Caenorhabditis elegans: one gene and its partners. The protein of the gene in region 3 purifies or fractionates together with the protein of the main gene of each other region. This does not show direct contact. Each region holds a gene or a part of one and is shown on either strand. Other genes may lie near its edges. The genes, in order: herc-1, madf-3 and rep-1.

Region 1 (4,709 bases), on a different chromosome or scaffold from region 3:
CAGCAAATTGCCAGATAGTAGAATTTCCGGCAAATCAGCAAACCGGCAAATTGCCAGAAATTAGAATTTCCGGCAAATCGGCAAGCCGGCAAATTGCCAGAAATTAGAATTTCCGGCAAATCAGCAAACCGGCAAATTGCCAGAAATTAGAATTTCCGGCAAATCAGCAAACCGGCAAATTGCCAGAAATTAGAATTTTCGGCAAATCGGCAAGCCGGCAAATTGCCAGAAATTAGAATTTTCGGCAAATCAACAAACTGACAAATTGCCAGAAATTAAAATCTCCGGCAAATCAGCAAATTGCCAGAAATTAGAATTTTCGGCAAATCAGCAAACCGGCAAATTGCCAGAAATTAGAATTTCCGGCAAATCAGCAAACTGACAAATTGCCAGAAATTAAAATCTCCGGCAAATCGGCAAATTGCCAGAAATTAGAATTTTCGGCAAATCAGCAAACCGGCAAATTGCCAGAAATTAGAATTTTCGGCAAATCGGCAAGCCGGCAAATTTCCAGAAATTAGAATTTTCGGCAAATCGGCAAGCCGGCAAATTTCCAGAAATTAGAATTTTCGGCAAATCAACAAACTGACAAATTGCCAGAAATTAAAATCTCCGGCAAATTGGCAAATTGCCAGAAATTAAAATTTCCGGCAAATCGGCAAACCGCCAGATTGCCAGAAATCAAATTTTCTGCAAATTGCCAGAATTTTAATTTTCCGGCAAATCGGCAAATTGCGAGAAATTAGAATTTCCGGCAAATCAGCAAACTGGCAAATTGCCAGAAATTAGAATTTTCGGCAAATCAGCAAACCGGCGAATTGCCAGAAATTAGAATTTCCGGAAAATTGTTATTTTTAGAAAAATAGGATAATTTGAAAATTGAAGAAAAAAAACTAATAAAAAAGTTTAACTAAATTTTTTTGGAAGTTTTCACAAATTGTTAGTAATTTCATGAGAAATAAGTTAAATTTTTGTCCAAAAAATCAATTTTTCAGGCCGCCCAAGACCGTGAAGCCGCGTGGGCTCGCAAGGAAGAAGCCGCAAAGGCTGCGGAGCCGTCCAGCAGCTCAACTGATGCTCCAGAATCTGCTGAAACTCTGGAAATTCCAGAAGAAAATGTTCAAGAAATGACTGAATAATTTGTTTTTTTTTTGTTATCTCTTTTTTCTCCTTTAATTTATCTCCATTTATCCCCTACACAGTTATAAATTCTGCTACGTGGCCGTGTGGAAAAAACTCGGCCACCGATTTTTTTTTGTTCCCTCACGTGGTGCCAAAGTGTTTCATTTCTGTTTGATCTACAAAAAATGCGGGAATTTTTCCCCAAAAAACTGTGACGTCAGCACGTTTTTAATCGTGCAAAATCAGTTGAGAACTCTGCGTCTCAACTCCCGCATTTTTTGTAGATCTAGGTAGATCAAACCGAAATGAGACATTCTGTCACAACGTGTTCCCTTTATTGTTGTTGCAGTTGTTATTTGATTTTTTTTTTTGAAAAAATTTGAATTTTTTTTTCAGATTTTTTCCTCTGATACTGCTTCAAAAACTAAAGTTGTTGAGATCACACTATGATATTTTCTAGATTGTTTTTTTAAAATTTAATTGTTAAAAAAATCAGATTTCAGAAAATGCGAGCTGAGCTGCTCGGATGTGGACACACGGGCGAGGGACAGCTCGGCGTTCGGCTCTCCGAGTCGACGATTCAAGTTCCCGAGAGAATTAGTACGGAGCTATTTTTGTTGCAGAAATTAGAAAACAGAAAAAAAAATTAATTCCGAAATTAAATTTTAAAAATTAAAAAATTTCGGATGAAAAAAAAACAATTGGAAGATTTTTGTAAATCTTTCACAAAACTTTAAAAAAAACTTTTTTAAAGAAATAATGGCAAACCGACATTTTGCCGGAAATGGAAGATTCCGGCAAACCGGCAAAAAGCCAGAAATTAAAATTTTCTGCATATCGACAATTTGCCTAAAATGAAAATTTCCGGCAAATCGGCAATATGCCTAAAATGAAAATTTCCGGCAAATCGGCAATTTGCCTAAAATGAAAGGTTCCGGAAATCGGCAATTTTCCTAAAATGAAAGGTTCCGGCAAATCGGCAATTTTCCTAAAATGAAAGATTCCGGCAAATCGGCAAGTTGTCAAAAATGATAGATTCCGGCAAATCGGCAAAAAGCCAGAAATTAAAATTTTCTGCAAATCCACAATTTGCCTAAAATTAAAATTTCCGGAAATCGGCAATTTGCCGAAAATGAGAGATTCCGGCAAATCGGCAATTTGTCAAAAATGATAGATTCCGGCAAATCGGCAAAAAGCCAGAAATTAAAATTTCCGGCAAATCGGCAATTTGCCGAAAATGATAGATTCCGGCAAACCGGCAAAAAGCCAGAACTTAAAATTTCCGGAAATCGGCAATTTGCCGAAAATGAGAGATTCCGGCAAATCGGCAATTTTTCAAAAATGATAGATTCCGGCAAATCGGCAAAAAGCCAGAAATTAAAATTTCCGGCAAATCGGCAATTTGCCTAAAATGAAAATTTCCAGCAAATCGGCAATTTGCCTAACGAAAAAAAATTGATTACTTTGGAGCAAAATTGTATGCATCTTTAAAAAACTCTTTTTTTTTGAATATTTGTTTAAAAACTGTGTGAAAATAGTTTAAAATCGTCTCGGAATTTTCTCTGAAAATTGTTCAAAATTTCAGTTGGCGCTCCAAATGATATGGATGGAACCGCAGTGACGTCAGTCACGTGTGGTGAACAACATACAGTATTCCTGACAAAAGATGGCAAAATGTGGAGTGTTGGTAGTAATATGGATGGACAATTGGGACGAGGCAGTCGGACTGAGGGTTCTTTTTCGATTTATCCGGTTTCTTGGACAAGCAGTGCGAAAATTATTCAGGTAACTTTGAGTTTTTTTTTTGGCGAAAATCCATTAGAAAATGATTTTACCATATTTTTTCGCTAAATAACATTTGAAAAATAAAAAATTTTTCGTTTTTCCCTAGTTTTTGGCGAGAAAATCCCGTAGATCTCATTTTTGTAAACTCTTTTTCCGTGGAATCCCCTTTTCTTAGATTTCCATCTCGCAGATCCTCTTCCCATAGTTCCCATTTGCGTAAATTCTCTTCTCGTAGATCCCCGTTTCGTAGATCTCCGTCTTGTTGATCCCCTTCTCGTAGAATAGCAAATTTCTAGATCCTCTTCTCCCAGATACTCTTTTGGTAGATTCACTTCTCGTAAATCTCCTTCTCATAGAATTAATTTTGGTTCCCGTTTCGTAGATCTCTGTTTCGTGCAAGCTCCCTTCTCGAAGATTCCTTTGCCGTAGATCTTCTTTTCGTAGATCACCCTTCTCGCAGCTCTCTTTTTTGTAAATTCTCTTTTCATAGATCTGCCTTCCATAGACTTCCCTTCTCGGAGATCTCCTTTACGCAGAACGACGTTTTGTAGATCCTTTTCCATAGATTCTCCTCTCGTAGAATGGCTAATTCCTAGATCCTCTTCTCCCAGATCCCTTTTTTTGTAGATTCTCTTCTCGTAGATCTCCGTTTCGTAGATGCTCTTTTTTGTACATATATTTTCCATAGATCCCTTTTTGCCTTTAATGTAGATTTTTTCCATAATTACCCTCTCCGTAGATCTCCTTCTCGTAGATCCCATTTCCGTAGAATTCCCCCTTTCGTAGATCCCATTTTCAAAGATAGCCTTTCCGTATAATCTCCCTTTCGTAGATTCGATTTTCGAAAATAATAATCTCGCAGATCCCCTTCTCATAGATCCCCATCTGGTTGATCACCTTCTCGTAGATGCTTTTTTCATAAATTCCCTTACTTCAGATCCATTTTCCGTGGATCTCCTTTTCGCAGAGCCAATTTCCATAGATCGCCTTCTCGTAGAAATTCCATTTTTCAGATCTCTGCTGGCCGTTCTCACACAGTCTCCGTAACCGACGATGGGCGTGTCTTCGCTTGGGGCTCCAATGAGCACGGACAACTCGGAATGGAGAGTAAATTCACGTGGCAGGGAACACCACGACGTGTTCAAGAGATTAATGATATTGTACAAGTGGCGTCTGGATCCAATCATTGTATTGCGTTGGATGAAGGTAGAAATTTGGAAATTTGTGAAAAAATTCAAATTTTTGCTGGAAAAGTCCAAAAAGTATCTCAAAAACCTGAAAAATTGAAAAATTTAGTAAGGGGATATGGTCGGGGTACTGTAGTAGTACTGTAGGGGTACTGTAGGAGTACGGTAGGATTACTGTAGTTTAGGGAAATTTGACTTTTTCTCTTTTGAATGGATATTGGTTTGGGGTTAGTGGGGGGGATATGGTCGGGGTACTGTAGTAGTACTGTAGGGGTACTGTAGGAGTACTGTAGTAGTACTGTAGGATTACTGTAGTTTAGGAAAAATAAACTTTTCGTCTTTTGAAGGAATATTTGTTTTCGAATAATTTGCAAAAACGGAAAGCTGGATTTTTTTGAAAATAAAAAATAAAAATGTAATCCCGCTTCAACGCCAAAAGAAAAGTTGGGTCTCGTTAGGAATTGGCGGCGAAATTTTTTGCTAATTTTTGCTAATTTTGAAGCATTTTTTGTTGCTTTTAATAATTTTTGTACCAACGACGACCAAAAAATCATGGAAATCCAGAGAAAAACCGATCAATTCTGAATTGAAATTTGAATTGCCGCGCTCATTTTT
Region 2 (6,662 bases), on a different chromosome or scaffold from region 3:
CATATGCTGCTTAAATGCTGAGACTACCTGATTTTCATAACGAGACCGCTAAGAAAGTTTTGAGGTTTCCAAAATTCAACTTTTTTGGTGAAAAAGTCGAGATTTTCGCACAAAAAAATTGAATTTTGAAAACCTCAAAACTTTTTCAGCGGTCTCGTTATGAAAATCAGGTAATTTCAGCATCTAAGCATCATATGTATCATGTTTCAGAAAAAGTTTAGGTTTTGTATTCCCGTAATCCATCATATTACATTGACCACTTTCACCGCTGCTTGCCCACTGAATGCATGATTTTTTCACTTGGAAATTGGAAATTGTTTTAGCATCTGCAAAAAATATTTATTTATCAGTTTTATTAAGAAAAAACGAAAAAAATCGATGAAAAACGAAAGAAAACAGGCGGAAAACAAAGCAAGATAAATGGCCGCTGAAACTTGTCGGCCCCTCGGCCATGGCCTAGAAACCACTTTTCCTCGTCCCTCGCGAGGAAAAAGTTGCAGTGTAACTTTCAGACTTCGCGGTGAGACCCATCCGCAAAAAATTTTTCAAAATTTTTCAAAAAACACAGATAAAAAGTAGGTTTTGAACACCTTAAAAGAGGTAAATTTACAACAAAAAATCCAAATTTTCTAGGATAAAAATCAATTATTCATGAAATAAAAGGACCTGAGATAGGAAAGACGGCGATGGAAATTAAGAAACTGCCCACAAAAATTACAAAAAAAAATACAGATACAGAAATATTGTACAAATATGAAAATATGATGAGACCAGTTGATGGGATAAAGATCAAAAAAATTGGAAATAAATGCGCCAAGACTACAGTACCTGGGGTCTCGAAGCGACAATTTTTGTTAAGTGCGTGTGTAAAGGTGTGCGCCTTTAAAGAGTACTGTAACTTCAAAAATTCGTGAATTTTCATCAATTTTTCATAGTTTTTCGATAAAAAAGACAATAAATTTTCACAAATTGTGAGAAAAACTCGACAAAAATTCACAGTTAAACACAGTACTCTTTAAAGGCGCACACTTTTTTCAATTTTCAACTTATCAAAAAAAAAGTTTTCAACTTATCAATTTGGGTCGTGGCGAGACCCGGCTTGGGGTAAAATCGAAGAAATTTCGAGGTTGGGTAATAAAAAGTGGACAAAAAATTGAAAATTTCGGCTAGAAAATTCAATAAAAATCACAAATAATTAGGAGCAGGTGTAGACGGAGGTTTAGCGGATTCCAAAAGTATCATAATCTGCTGCTTTGCAATTATTCGTGCTTCTTCTCCAAGTGTCCTTAGATCCGATACAATTGATGCAGAGAATGCAGAATCTCCGTCGAGAAGTACATCACCGTTGTTTGGTCGCTTTTCAGCCATCATCACGTAGTTTATGCTGGAAATTTCAGGGGTTTATTGATTTTTTTTTTGGCAAAATAAAATTATTATTTTGGAATTATCTGTGATTACTTGTCGGAAAAAATTGCACCAAATCATCAAGTTTTCGCAAATTCCAAATTTTTAAAATTTCATTTTTCTAAATCTTTGAATTTTTTTTTTTGAAAATTTTTCAATTTTTCTAGAGAATCTAATAGAAATCACCGAAAATTGTCTTAAAACCGCCACTATTTGCTTCCGACCAATCAGCGCCCGACTCCGCGCAATTCCGAACCAATCAGCGGCACAGGTCGTCGCTGATTGGTTCAAAAAAGAGAAGGGGCCGAGCGCTGATTGGTTAGAAGTTGATCAATTTTAGAGTCAAATTTCCTCTTTTTTTTTCATCAACTTTTTGCTCATTTTAGCTCACTCACTCATCATCGTAATCTCCATAATCTGACATTTCATCCTGATTTCCTCCGTCATTGTTTCCCCCTCGTTTCAGACTTCGAGCACATCGAGATAGTTGCTCTGCAAAATTTTAGTTTTTTTTAAAGTATTTATTCCGGCGATTTTAGGAGCCACGTAAAATAATACATGGAACTGCGTAATTCGTAATTTCACATATGGCGGTGCGAAATTTTTTACATGTCAAAACAAGAGTTCTAAAACTAAACTCTTTTTTCGTATTTATATTGAGGAAAAAAAACGATTTTAAAGCTGGAGGAGTAGGAGTAAATGAGGGATTTTACTTCAAAATGCGCAAACTGATCCTGAATCTCTCTGCATCCACACTATTGTCCGTAGATCTGCATCCGCACTATTGTCTTCACTTGCGAGGAAAAAACGGGAAAAACTAGAATTAACGTCGCGCAGATACAGATCTACGGAGTGCGGCGCTGAAAAAGGCGCGGCAATTTAAATGATTAGGAGATTAGTCAGAATTGAAAATTAACCAAAATCAACCGATTTTTTTTCAAACTTAATGATTTTTGATTTTTTTTTTCGGGGGCCTTTTATGGTATTTCGGCATTCAGGATCAGTTTGATTTAAAGGTTTTTTGTTTTAATTTTCCAGGAAAAAAAGCTCGTACGTTCATCCAAATGCTGATCTATCCAAGCCATATCATCATACATCTCCCAAGTTGACACATCTTGAACATTCGGATCACCCTGAAGTTGCTAAGAAAAATTTGTAAAATTTCTGTTTAAAACAAAAATAGAGGCTCCACGAAAACGGGATACTGTTGAGAAAGGGGATTCTGGCACTGTGCCAATTTTTTCTCAAAGAAAAATTGAGTTTTGTGCGTTGGCAGTGCCAGGCAGGGAGGGGCAAACGATTTTTTCCGGCAATTCCGGCAAATTTCCAACTTGCCGAATTTGTCGAAAATCGAAATTTCCGGCAAACCGGCAAATCAGCAAATTGCCCGAAATTAAAACTTCCGGCAAATCGCCAAATAGGCAATATCCCGAAAATAAAAATATTCCGGCAAATCGCCAAATTGCCTAAAATTAGAATTTCCGGCAAATCGCCAAACCGGAAATTTGCCGAATATCAAAATTTCCGGCAAATCGCCAAATTTGCCGTTTATCAAAATTTCCGGCAAATCGCCAAATTTGCCGTTTATCAAAATTTCCGGCAAATCGCCAAATCGGCAACTTGCCAAAAATCAAAATTTCCGGCAAATAGGCAATTTTCCAAAAATCAAAATTTCGGGCAAATCGCCAAATTGCCTAAAATTAAAAATTCCGGCATATCGGCAAAATGCCCAAAATGAAAACTTCCGGCAAATAGGCAATTTGCCAAAAATCAAAATTTCCGGAAAACCGGCAAATTGCCTAAAATTAGAATTTCCGGCAAATCGTCACTTTGCCGGGAATCAAAATTTCCGGCAAATAGGTAAACCGGCAACTGCCGCCTGCCAGATCCCATTTTCCATAAGTTCTCCTTTTCATGAGGCCTCCAAATGCCTACCAAATTCCTCAGCCTCCTCTTCTCCCTAACATATCGATCTCGATGCTTCTTCCATTGTTTATAAATCGACGGAACTGTTCCAGGATATCGTAGTTTATCAATAATCATTCCCCATGCTTGAGTACGACAGTCTCCATGACGATATTTTGGATCACGAACATCATAAAGACACGGATGCCTTCTCACTTCAAGAATTAGATTTTTTCCAAAACATGGCTCAGCAATCTTTTCATGAACTCCAGTTGGCTCTTTTCGAGATGGTGATATTTCTGCTCGATCTGTCATATGTGGATCTAGAAAATGAAGATGTTTGAAATATTGCCATGATGATTTCTCATTTCCATATTTTTGTTTTCTCTTCTCTTTTCCATATTTATCTCTTAATTGCTTCCATCTCGCAGATAACATTCTCGGATCACCATCAAAACCGAGTACAGTAACCAGACGCTGCCAAACTCGATTTTTGTATTCTGTATTACGGTATTGTCGGTCTGTATTGTCGAAAAGGCATCGACTATGACGGACGGCTTCGATGAGACGTAGGTTGAATGTCGGTTCGATCATTTCCTCGCCGAAGCGGGTCGCTGTGTAGTTCCTGCAAAAAAAGGTTATTTATGATTTTTTTTAGAAAAATCAGATAATTTTCTGATTTTTTTAAGCGAACTTTTTTTTCGGAAAAATGCTTTTTGGGATTTTTTTGAGTGAATTTTTGATTTTTCTAATTTGAAAAAAAAAACTGATAACATCAAACTTTATCCAAAAATATGTTCTTAAAGGAAAACGCGATTTTTTGAATTTTTATCGAATATATAATTTTAAAAAATAGTTTTTCTGTCGGAAATTAATTTTTTTTTAAATTTTTTACAAAAAAAGCGCAGTTTTTTTTAAAAAGAAAATCGAGTATTTTTTCTCAAGAAAAAACACCTTAAGATTTTTAAAGATTTTTATCGAAAAAAAATGTGTTTTTAATGGAAGATCAAGTTTTTTTTTAATTCAATTTTTTTTGATAGAATATATAATTAAAAAATGGACTTGTTTCGAAAATTAACTTTTTTAAATTTTCGTATTAAAAAAATTGCAATTTTTTCGAAAAATCTGGTATTTTTCGAAGGTTTTTAGAAACATCTTTTTTTTAAAGTAAAAAACGTTTTTTTTTTTCGAAAAAAAGTGTTTGCAAAAACTGATTTTTTACCTTTTTAAAATAAAAAATTGTTTGTTGAAAAAAAAAAATTTTGACAACAAAAGTTTTTTTTTAATTTTTTTATTTAGTAGATTAAATTATTTTTAGCACTTCGTAAGTACTTACAATTAGAAAAATTTTCTTTTTTCATATATAAAAAATTGTTGATTTTTCGCCAATTTATCGGAAAATAAATTGGATCTTTTTTGAGAAAAATCTGATTTTTTTTTTCAAAAATTCGATTTTTCTAAATTTATCCAAATATCATTTTAAACTCACATATCGTATTGTTCTTCGTGATATAAATGCTGATAGTTGTGCTCACTGGAGATCATGATTAGCTGAAAGTGTTAGAGCAATCGCTTTTTGAGACGGCTTTTAGAGATATTATGAGGAAGGTTTTAAGGAAACCATTATGGGGAATAAAAAGAAAATAGATGTGATAGAAAATATTGATTTTTTTTCAAAAGAAATCAACAACAAAAAAACAAAACAAAACAAAAAAAGTAACAATTTAAATCTAAAACAACAGAAATCGCAAGCTCGTGTACTCCACGAGGAGAAGTAAAGTACTAGAATTTTGAATTTAACACTAAAAAAAAATGATTTTTTGCTTTAAATCCCAGAAAAAAAATGAGATTTTCAATTTTTGGTGATTTTTGGCAACTTAAAAATTTTAATTTTAAATTAAAAATTTGCATTTTGTTAACAGTTGCTGTTCGGCAAATTTCTTTGTCGACAAAATCGGCAAATCGGCGAATTGTCGACCTGCCGATTTACCGAACATAAATTTGCAGGAATTTTTTGGAAGAATTTTTACGAGACGGAAAAACTTGAAACTGTGCTTTTTTGAAATTTTTTTGTCGGTTTTCTAGATATTTTCATAGAATTTGCCAATTTTCAAATTAGATGTAGGAATAGTCATAGGATGCGTACAGTTTTGCCGATTAAAATTTAAATTCTGAAATATCAAAAAAAAAAAAGGTAAAAAATCGCAATTTGCCGAAAATCTATGGCAATTTCCGTTTTTTCGGCAAGTTGCAGGTTTGCCGATTTACCGCAAATTTTCAATTCCGGCAAATTTGCCGATTTGCCGGAAAAAAATCGTTTGCCGCAAACACAACTTTAAATGCCAAAAATATACCGTAATTTTAATTTGAAAAAGTGGAGATTTGCAATTTTTGGTAATTTTTGGCCACTTTTAATTGTTTTAATTGTTCAAAAATTTGCATTTTGTTAACAGTTTTCTGTAATTTTGAGCAAAAACTGTAAAAATTTTGCACTTCTCCACGAGGAGTACACGAGCCGCGTAAATCGACACAAGCTGAACAAAAATTACAATATTTAAAATGAATTCAATTTTCTTCCTTTTTCACTTTTTTCGCCGCCAATTTCTTCTGAAATCGATCTCTTTTATCCAATTGTCCACTAATTTTCTCCAGCTTTCTCTTGGAATTTGTCATTCTTCGAGTCCTCATTTCCTCCAAATGCCTATCAGCTTCATCTTCATCCATTCCACTCATCAGAAGCTCTTTTCTTCGATTAATCTCCTTTTTCTCTCCGAATTTCTGATTTTCCAGCTTCAACTCGGCTTCTTTCTTCGCCACAAGCACTTGGGTGACGTATTTGGTGACATGTTTTGGGCTGACCTGAAAAAAATGCGAAAATTAAGGGAATTTATTGATTAAAAAGTAGATTTTTTGTGTAGAGAAATGAAAAGAGACGGGGGAAAAAATGATGAAAAAAAAATTATTTGCGTCAATATAGAGAGAAACGCAGTCAACTAGAGAGTGAAAAATGAGAGGAAAATATTTTTTTTTGGCGTCATTGAAAGTGGAAGGAGTTTGGAAATTCAATATTTTGGCGGGAAATTCAAATTTTTTGAAAAAAAATGTTTCTTCCGCCTTTTTCGTGTTTTTAGCAGAAAAACTCGCTTTTTTCGAAAAAAAAATTAAAAATTTTCCTTTTTTATCCAAAATATGGCACTGGAAAATTACAAAAGAAGTGCAATTTTTGTTTTTTTTTCGCTTTTTTTCTAGATTTTCCGAAAAAAAAATATAGCTTCAAATTTAGGCAATTTTTCCCTATTTTTTGCCGAAAATTATATGTTTCTCATGTTTTTTGAAATCAAATTTTAGAAAAA
Region 3 (7,892 bases):
AAAATTTTTTTTTTTTAATTTTTATATTTTTTCGAAATTTTTTTTTCTAATTTGAATTTCTAATTCAATTTCAGCTCAAAAATCCAATTTTCATCGTTCTTTCGCCCTAACCTCCTCCACCACACTAGCATAGTGTAAATTCGCATCAACTGGCGGCGCGACGACGACATTTTCGGCTCCGGCGGTGTCGAATTTCATGGAATTCGCGGTGAAGCTCATCTTCCAGTAGGGTTCCACTTCTGAAATGCAGAAAAAATATCGATTTTTCTAGGAAAAATCGAAAAACTCAAAAATATTAAAGAAAAACCGGGTTCCAAGCCAATTTTCGCGAATTTTAAGTGAAAAATTCGAAATCTCCGCCCTGAAAAACCTAAATACTCCCACGGGGACTCGAACCCCGGACCTTTTGCTCCGAAGTCAAGCCTGTTAGCCACTGCGCCACCGGTGCGCCGAACCAGCGGCGCGTGATGCAACGCGTGGCGCAGTGGCTAAGCGGCTCGCCTTTGGAGCAAAAGGTCCGGGGTTCGATTCTCCGTGGGGGTGTATAGGTTTTTTATAGCGGAGAATTCGAATTTTTCACTTAAAATTGGGGAAAATTCACTTGGAAATAATTTTTCTCAAAATTTCACTGAATCCTTGCTGAGATTTCAACTCTTGGAGTCTCTATTTTAGAACTTTGAAGCTTAACATATATTAATAGTTCAAAAAAATGGATTTTGTATCATTTTCGAGCGAAAATTTCAGGAAACTAGGTTGTAACTCAATTTTTGCGAATTTTAAGTTAAAAATTCGAAATGTTCGCTATGAAAAACCTATACACCACTGCGGGGACTCGAACCCCGGGACCATTTGCTCCGAAGTCAAGCCTGTTAGCCACTGCGCCACGGGGTGCAACATGCATCACTGGTTAGCTGCAACGCGTGGCGCAGTGGCTAAGCGGCTCGCCTTTGGAGCAAAAGGTCCAGGGTTCGATTCCCCGTGGGGATATATAGGTTTTTTATAGCGGAGAATTCGAATTTTTCACCTAAAATTAGGGAAAATTCACTTGGAAATGACTTTTCCATGAAAGTTTCTCAAATTTTAAGCGAAAAATAGGTTTTCGGTAGTGGAAATTCAAAATTTCCCCCTAAAAATTCCGCGAAAATCACCATTTTTTTCAAAAATCTTCTCTGCAATAGTCTTGACACTTGTTTCTCCTTCTTGGGTACCCGTTGCATGCACCAGAACTGCAAAAAAAAAATCTTTATTTTTCTAGGAAAAAACGTGGGGGCTTACAGTGTCCTTTCGGAGCCGTACAGGCTTCAAAGCCCACTTCAACAAGCCGTGAGACTGCGGCGTCGGGCCGGAGAGATGCCAGATTGAGGAGGGTTAGCTGAAAATTTTTTCGGATTTTTAATACGAAATTCGAAATCCCCGCAAAATTTCACTCTAGAATTATTTTTTCCCAGGCTTCTAGCTCAATTTTGAAATTTTCGGGGTTACTGTAGCGCCAAAAGTACGCGATGCCCCCGTGGTGTTTGCGTACCTGACACCGAATTTTACGAAATTGAACCCAAATTGGCTTAAATTTCAGTTACGGGGTAAATTGGCAACGGGGAATTCGAATTTTGCATTGAAAATCAACTAGGAGCACTGGTTTCTCGAGTAAAATTAAATTTTTCTCGAAAACCAGTTGACCAAGGTGGTTTTCAATGCGAAATTCGAATTTCCCGTTGCCAATTCACCCCGGAACATGATTTTCAGCCAATTTAAGCTCAATTTCGTAAAATTCGGTCTCAGGTACGCAAGCACCGAGGTCAACGTACTTTTGGCGCTACAGTAACCCCAAAAATTGTAACATTGAGCTAGAAGCCCGGGGAAATTGAATTCTAGAGTGGAATTTTGCGGGAAAATCGAATTTCCTGGTGGAAAACTCCAAAAAATGCTCCGGAACCTGTTCTTTCTCGGCTTCTTTAATCGATTTATCCGTCGCATAGACGATTCTCTCGATTTTCAGCGTACTACTAGCTGGAACAGTTTCGGGGACAAATCTCGGGGACATCACGATGTAGCGACAATTTACACGATCTCCATTGGCAATTACAGCCGTAATTCTGGAAATTTTTGAGAAAATTGGTTTTCCGACAAATTGAAAATTTGGGCATAGCTTCCGCATCTCCGAGTGACAAATGTGCTCTATTGTCAAATTGTTGGCAGAAATACGGTATTTATTCACATTTTCAGCACAATTTAAGGCTGAAAATGTGAATAAAAACAGTTTTTATGCCATCAATCTGGGTAGAAACACATGAGTCACGGAATATTGTATAAAACTAGTTTTGCTGGGAATTTGACTTGAAAATTAGGTCAAATTTCGCAGAAACTATTGATTTTTCGCTTATTCTCTTCACTAACTTTCCATCTTTTTTCACGATAGCCTGTACAGGCCGTCCCAGACAATATAAGCTCCCAAAGACTGCTGCCAGCCGGCAAAAGCACTGTGAGAGCTCTCCACATCCGTAGAGTGGGAAGAGGAATGGCGATGGACCGAAATGGCCGACAGAATCCATGAACTGGCATGATGCCAACATTCCCTGGAATTTGGAAAAATTTTAAATTTTGAAAAAAATTTTTTTTTTTTTTTGAAAATTTGTTTTTCTCAAAATTTTTTTCAATTTCAAATTTGACATGAAAATCAACTCGAAATTCGAATTCTCCACATCACCAGCTTCCAAATGACACCCATCATGCCCATGATCCATCGATTTTGAAAATTTTGGGTCCCGCCACGAGGGGTACTGTAGCACCGGTTTCAGCTGTGTCGGAGCGCAAACTGCACGGAAAATGGGCATGATGGGGGTCATTGTAAAGCTGAAAGCGTTAGAGATTTGAATTTTTCAAAAATTTTTAGCAAAATAGACAAAATCAACATTTTTTCGAAAAAAAAAATAATTTTTTGCTCAAATTTTTTTCAATTATAAATTTCTTTTCAAATCGACTCAAAACTCGAATCCTCCACATCATCATCTTTCTAAAGACCCCCATACTGCCCGGGTTCCGATGATTTTGAAAATTCGGGTCTCGCCACGCGGGGTACTGTAGCACCGGTTTCAGCTGTGTCGAGACTGCCAAAACTCAAAATCAACGGACCCCGGGCATGTTGGGGGTCATTTTGAAGCTGAGAGTGGCGAGAATTCAAATTTTTCAATAATATTTTGAAAAAAATTGAAGTAAATTTCGTGCAAAAAAAAAAATTTTGGATTTTTTTTTCATTTTCAATTTTTTTAGAAATTCAGATTTTTTTCTAAAAAACAGTAATTTCCGCATATTCACCGTCATCGCAGTGGGTCTTTGCTGTAAAATGCCGATCGTATTAATAATAAAGCTCTGCAGGGTCTTTCCAACGCCCATTTGCTCCAAAAACTCTGAAAACGGGCGGTCGGCGTGCTCGGCGAGCAGTTTTCTGCCTTCTTCCGTGTCTTTTGTGCTCCATTGTGTGCAGAATGTGATGAATTTCATAAGAGCTCGCTTTTCCAGGATTCTGGAAGAATTTTTGGAGATTTATCATTGCGAATCGATTTTTTTGGCAAAGAAAATCGATATTTTATCGATTTTCAGCCTAAAAAAATCCCTTACGACAAAGCATTGCTCTGAAAAATCTCTCCTTTGCTACATGGCACCGGATTTAGGGTAATTCCGGCTTCTGGGGTCTCTGTTGGGCATAGCTGCCGGTTGACAAGCTTAAACTCGGCATAATGGGATACTTGGGAGTCACAGAGTGTTTGAACCTGAAAAAATTCAAAAAATTGGAAGAAAATCGTTTTTTTTTTCCAAATTTTTTTCAAGATTTTCAAAATTTTCCCATAAATTTTTGTCAAACTTTTCAATATCTGAAAATAATGCGGAAATTCGAATTTTTCGACGCTCTCAGCTTTCGAATGACCCCCAACATGCCCCGGCTCCGTTGATTTTGACTTTTGGAAGTTTTGACACAGCTGAAGCCGGTGCTACAGTAACCCGCGTGGCGAGACCCAAAAAAATCAAATTGCATGGAACCAGGGCATGATGGGGGTCATTTTGAAGCTGGTGATGTGAAGATCTCGGAAAAAATGTTAATTTTTGAATATTCTGAAAATTGACAATTTTTTGGAAAATATTTTTCAATTTTTTTAAATTTTCGATATTTCAGAAAACTAGCAAATAATTCGAATTCTCCACTTTATCAGCTTTCAAATGACCCCCAACATGTCCGTGGTCCGTTGATTTTGAATTTTGGCAGTCTCGACACAGCTGAAATCGATGCTACAGTAACCCGCGTGGCGAGACCCAAAATTTTCAAAGCGGTCGGAACCTGGGCATGTTGGGTGTCATTAGACAGCTGGTGGCGTAGAGAATTCGAATTTCAGAGTTTTAAATGAGGAAATTGAATTTTTAGAAAAATTTTTCTTTTTTTTCAGAAAAAAAGTTTCAAAAAAAATTTTTTTTTTGGCAAAAATTGATTTTTTGATGACTATTAGGGCAAAACATCAAGTTCTCCAATTTAGGTGTAATTTTGCAATTTTGTACCATTGCTCCCTTGGAAAGTAGAATTTTCGGCACTAAATCGATGGAAAATCGCCGCATTTGTGAAGCCTCTTCCAGTTGCGTTTTCATCGGCTTTTCCTCGTCTTTTCCACGTGGAATCCACGTCATTTCAATGTTTTCCACGATTTCTCGATTGCCGAGCTCAATGAGCTGCTCATTTTCAGTCAAAAGCTCTGATAACTTGGAAATCTCCGAGGAATCCAGCTTTTTTACCTGAAAATTCGGAAATTTTGGGGTTTTTCTGGCTGAAAATCAATAAAAACCTGATTTTCAGTCACTTCATGAACCATCGACATTGTGAATGATGACCAATCACCGCCGTAGTACTCATTTCTGCAAAAATATTTTTTATTTCGAATTTTTCAAGAAATCGAGTATGAAATTCGAATTCCAGACGTTATCAGCTTTCAAATGACCCCCAACACGCCTAGGTTCCGTGCATTTTGACAACCGACACAGCTGAAATCGGTGCTACAGTAACCCGCGTGGCGGGACCCAAAATTCTCAAAGTAGGCGGAATATGGGCATGATGGGGGTCATTTGAAAGCTGGTAACGTGAAGATTTCAGAAAGAATTCTGATTTTTTAAATTTCTGAAAATTGAAAAATGTTTTGGCAAATATATATTTTTTTTTCTTAAAATTTGTTTAATTTTCGATATTTCCGAAAACGAACAATTAATCTGATTTCTCAACGTTATTAGCTTTCAAATGAGCCCCAACACGCCTAGGTTCGGTGTATTTTGACAATCGACACAGCTGAAATCGGTGCTACAGTAACCCGTGACGGGACCCAAAAAAATCAAAATCAATGGAATATGGACATGGTGGGGGGTTATTTTAAAGCTAGTGACGTGGAGAACTCGAATATGATATCAGTTGGCTGACATTTTTCGAAAATTGGAAACTTTTGACGTTTTCCGAAAAATTTTCCACAAACTTGGTCAGAAAATTTTTACTTTCTGATTTTTCCCGAAAATTAATGTGATATTTGAATTCATCAGGTTCTCAGCTTCAAAATGACCCCCATCATGCCCAGAATCCGTTTATTTTGGGTCCCGCCGCGAAAAACTACAGTAACCCGAGGAGTTTTCGTGGCGGGACCCGAAAACTTCAAAACCAGCGGAATATAGGCAATTTGGGGATCAAATTGAAGCTGGCGACGTGGAGAATTCGAATTTTGCTGTATTTTTGAGGAAAAGTTATGATTAAAAAAAAAATTTAGCCGAAAATAATTTTTTTTTCGCAAAAATTTTTTTTTTTTCAATTTCATTCATTCATTTTTTTAAACTTTTTTTAAATGTTAGTTCGCCTATTACCTATCTAAATGAAGCACAGATAAGCCAGCTCGAGCACAAGCTGAAGCCAGAATGGCTTCAGGTAGTCCGGTGCCCAGCACCACTACGTCCACTGATTCTGGCAACTTTTCGTCCATTTTTTAGAGCTGGAAAAGCTGGAAATAGTTTGAATTTTTGGAAAATAAGAGATGTCATGCTTAAATTTGAAAAATTGAAAAAAACCAAAAAAAAAAAAAATTTTTTTGAAAATTTTCCAAAAAAAATTTTTTTTTCTATTAAAATATTTGATTTACGGCTGAAAACCTTTAAAAATTAACTAAAAAAAGTGGAAAAAACACGAAAAATCTTCATTTTCACACACACACACAAAACTTAACAAAAATGGCACGGGACGGGGGGAAGAGTTATAATATTTTTTTCAAATTTTCTGAATTTTTGCACAAAAAATAAACTTTAAAGGAAATGCTACACGTTGTGTCATTAAAATGTTAAAATTTACAACAAAAAATAAGGGGAATCTAGCAACAAAATAAATCAATTGTTTGGGAAAAAAATTGCGAAATTTCCAAAAAAAAAATTTTCTCAAAAAAATCAATAAAAATCCAGAAATTACATCCTTTCGTAGAGTCGATGAGGTTTGACACGTTCGTAGAATAGCATATAACTTTGACAGGCTGCCACGTGGGAGTACGGTACACGGGTTACCTGAAAAATTATACAAGTTTTCGGGGGAAAAATGAAAATTTGGGCATAGCTTCCGCATCTCCGAGTGACAAATGTGCTCTATTGTCAAATTGTTGGCAGAAATACGGTATTTATTCACATTTTCGGCCAATTTAAGACTGAAACTGTGAATAAATACAGTTTTTATGCCACCAATACGAGTAGAAGCACATGGGTCACGAGAAAATGTTTAGGAAGGGAATATTTAGGAAATTCTGTGAATTTTAATAATATGTCGTTTTTGTGACAAAGGCTCTTCGTTGACTGGAAATTCAAATTTTCTGAGAAAAATAAATTCGAGAAAATTCTGGAATGTTCCAAAACTTTCTAGAGAAATCGGGAAAATTCTGAAGTGTTCAATTTCGTGGAAAATTTCAGGAACCTGCAAATTTCTAGAACCTTTCGGAAAGTTCAAAAAAAAAAACTTCTTCAAGTTTTGATACTCCTAGAATATTCTGAAGTTTCAATAATTTGAAAAAAAAAGATCAAAATTGTTATAATTTCCAGAAACGCTCGCCAAAAACTCTCGGAAAGGACCGGAAAAAAGTTTTATATGATTTGAAAAACGTTTTTTTTTAGTTGTAAACACTCAGCTATATAATATTTATGTTGCTCGAAAACTTCCGGAAAACAGAAAAAAAACGTTCCATCTACAGAGAAAGGCTTAGAAATTTTAGAATTTGATTTCAATTTTGAGTACGCCAGTCGGAGCACGCGCTTCAGCGCGTTCGAACGGCTGGTATATATATATTAGGTCTCCAAATAAGTTCCGGGTCAAAAATCATAACTTTGTTCGCTGCGTATCGATTTTTATGAAACTTTGGGAATTTACGTTATCAACCATGATCTTTCACTTGACAATAGTCACGAAAGTTTTTGACCACCCCAAGTGTCCTAACGCGGAGCCAATTTTTTCAGGCATTTTTCTGATCTCGCTTCTTTTCAGTTTTCAATTGAGCTTTGTGTGCGGATTTTGCTTTGTTTAGATTATTAGAAAACAACAGAAGTTTGGAAAAAAATCCGCCCAAAAAAAAATTTTTTTGGTTGGTCGTCAAAAAATGTTCAAAATAATTTTTGTCGAAAATTCTAGATTTTTCCTACAAAAATGATGTAACCAAGTGTAAACTATTTTTCGACATACAAAACATATCAACTTAGTTCGATACACTAAAATGATAGTAGAAAATACAATTTTTTCGGATAATTTTTTAGTTTTTTGAATATTTCTTGAGATTCAAATTTTTAACTCAAATGATTTATATGTGTAAAAATAGTTTACACTTGGTTACATCATTTTTGTAGGAAAAATC

Evidence for each region.
Region 1: the proteins of rep-1 (region 3) and herc-1 fractionate together in Caenorhabditis elegans (co-fractionation; one large-scale study listed by BioGRID). This does not show direct contact.
Region 2: the proteins of rep-1 (region 3) and madf-3 fractionate together in Caenorhabditis elegans (co-fractionation; one large-scale study listed by BioGRID). This does not show direct contact.

What each region holds. Positions count from the first base shown.
Region 1 is NC_003279.8:1,209,867-1,214,575, forward strand, and holds the start of herc-1 (HECT domain-containing protein), read left to right. Parts: upstream 1-1,618; 5' UTR 1,619-1,628; coding exon 1,629-1,722; intron 1,723-2,707; coding exon 2,708-2,907; intron 2,908-3,920; coding exon 3,921-4,113; intron 4,114-4,709. Other genes in the region: nsun-2 (tRNA (cytosine(34)-C(5))-methyltransferase), read left to right, coding at 996-1,139.
Region 2 is NC_003280.10:4,332,948-4,339,609, reverse strand, and holds madf-3 (Alcohol dehydrogenase transcription factor myb/sant-like protein), read right to left. Parts: upstream 4,863-6,662; 5' UTR 4,799-4,862; intron 3,935-4,798; 5' UTR 3,904-3,934; coding exon 3,340-3,903; intron 2,538-3,339; coding exon 2,459-2,537; intron 1,897-2,458; coding exon 1,800-1,896; intron 1,385-1,799; coding exon 1,186-1,384; 3' UTR 572-1,185; downstream 1-571. Other genes in the region: H20J04.4 (RNA helicase), read right to left, coding at 5,875-6,168.
Region 3 is NC_003281.10:1,568,428-1,576,319, reverse strand, and holds the start of rep-1 (Rab proteins geranylgeranyltransferase component A 1), read right to left. Parts: upstream 6,015-7,892; 5' UTR 5,997-6,014; coding exon 5,881-5,996; intron 4,897-5,880; coding exon 4,827-4,896; intron 4,777-4,826; coding exon 4,546-4,776; intron 3,768-4,545; coding exon 3,616-3,767; intron 3,521-3,615; coding exon 3,313-3,520; intron 2,574-3,312; coding exon 2,395-2,573; intron 2,094-2,394; coding exon 1,934-2,093; intron 1,373-1,933; coding exon 1,276-1,372; intron 1,227-1,275; coding exon 1,149-1,226; intron 988-1,148; exon of another isoform or gene 915-987; intron 891-914; exon of another isoform or gene 818-890; intron 546-817; exon of another isoform or gene 470-545; intron 449-469; exon of another isoform or gene 376-448; intron 240-375; coding exon 112-239; intron 1-111. Other genes in the region: Y67D2.2 (Ubiquitin carboxyl-terminal hydrolase), read right to left, coding at 6,469-6,564. UniProt on the Caenorhabditis elegans protein: Substrate-binding subunit of the Rab geranylgeranyltransferase (GGTase) complex. Binds unprenylated Rab proteins and presents the substrate peptide to the catalytic component B and remains bound to it after the geranylgeranyl transfer reaction.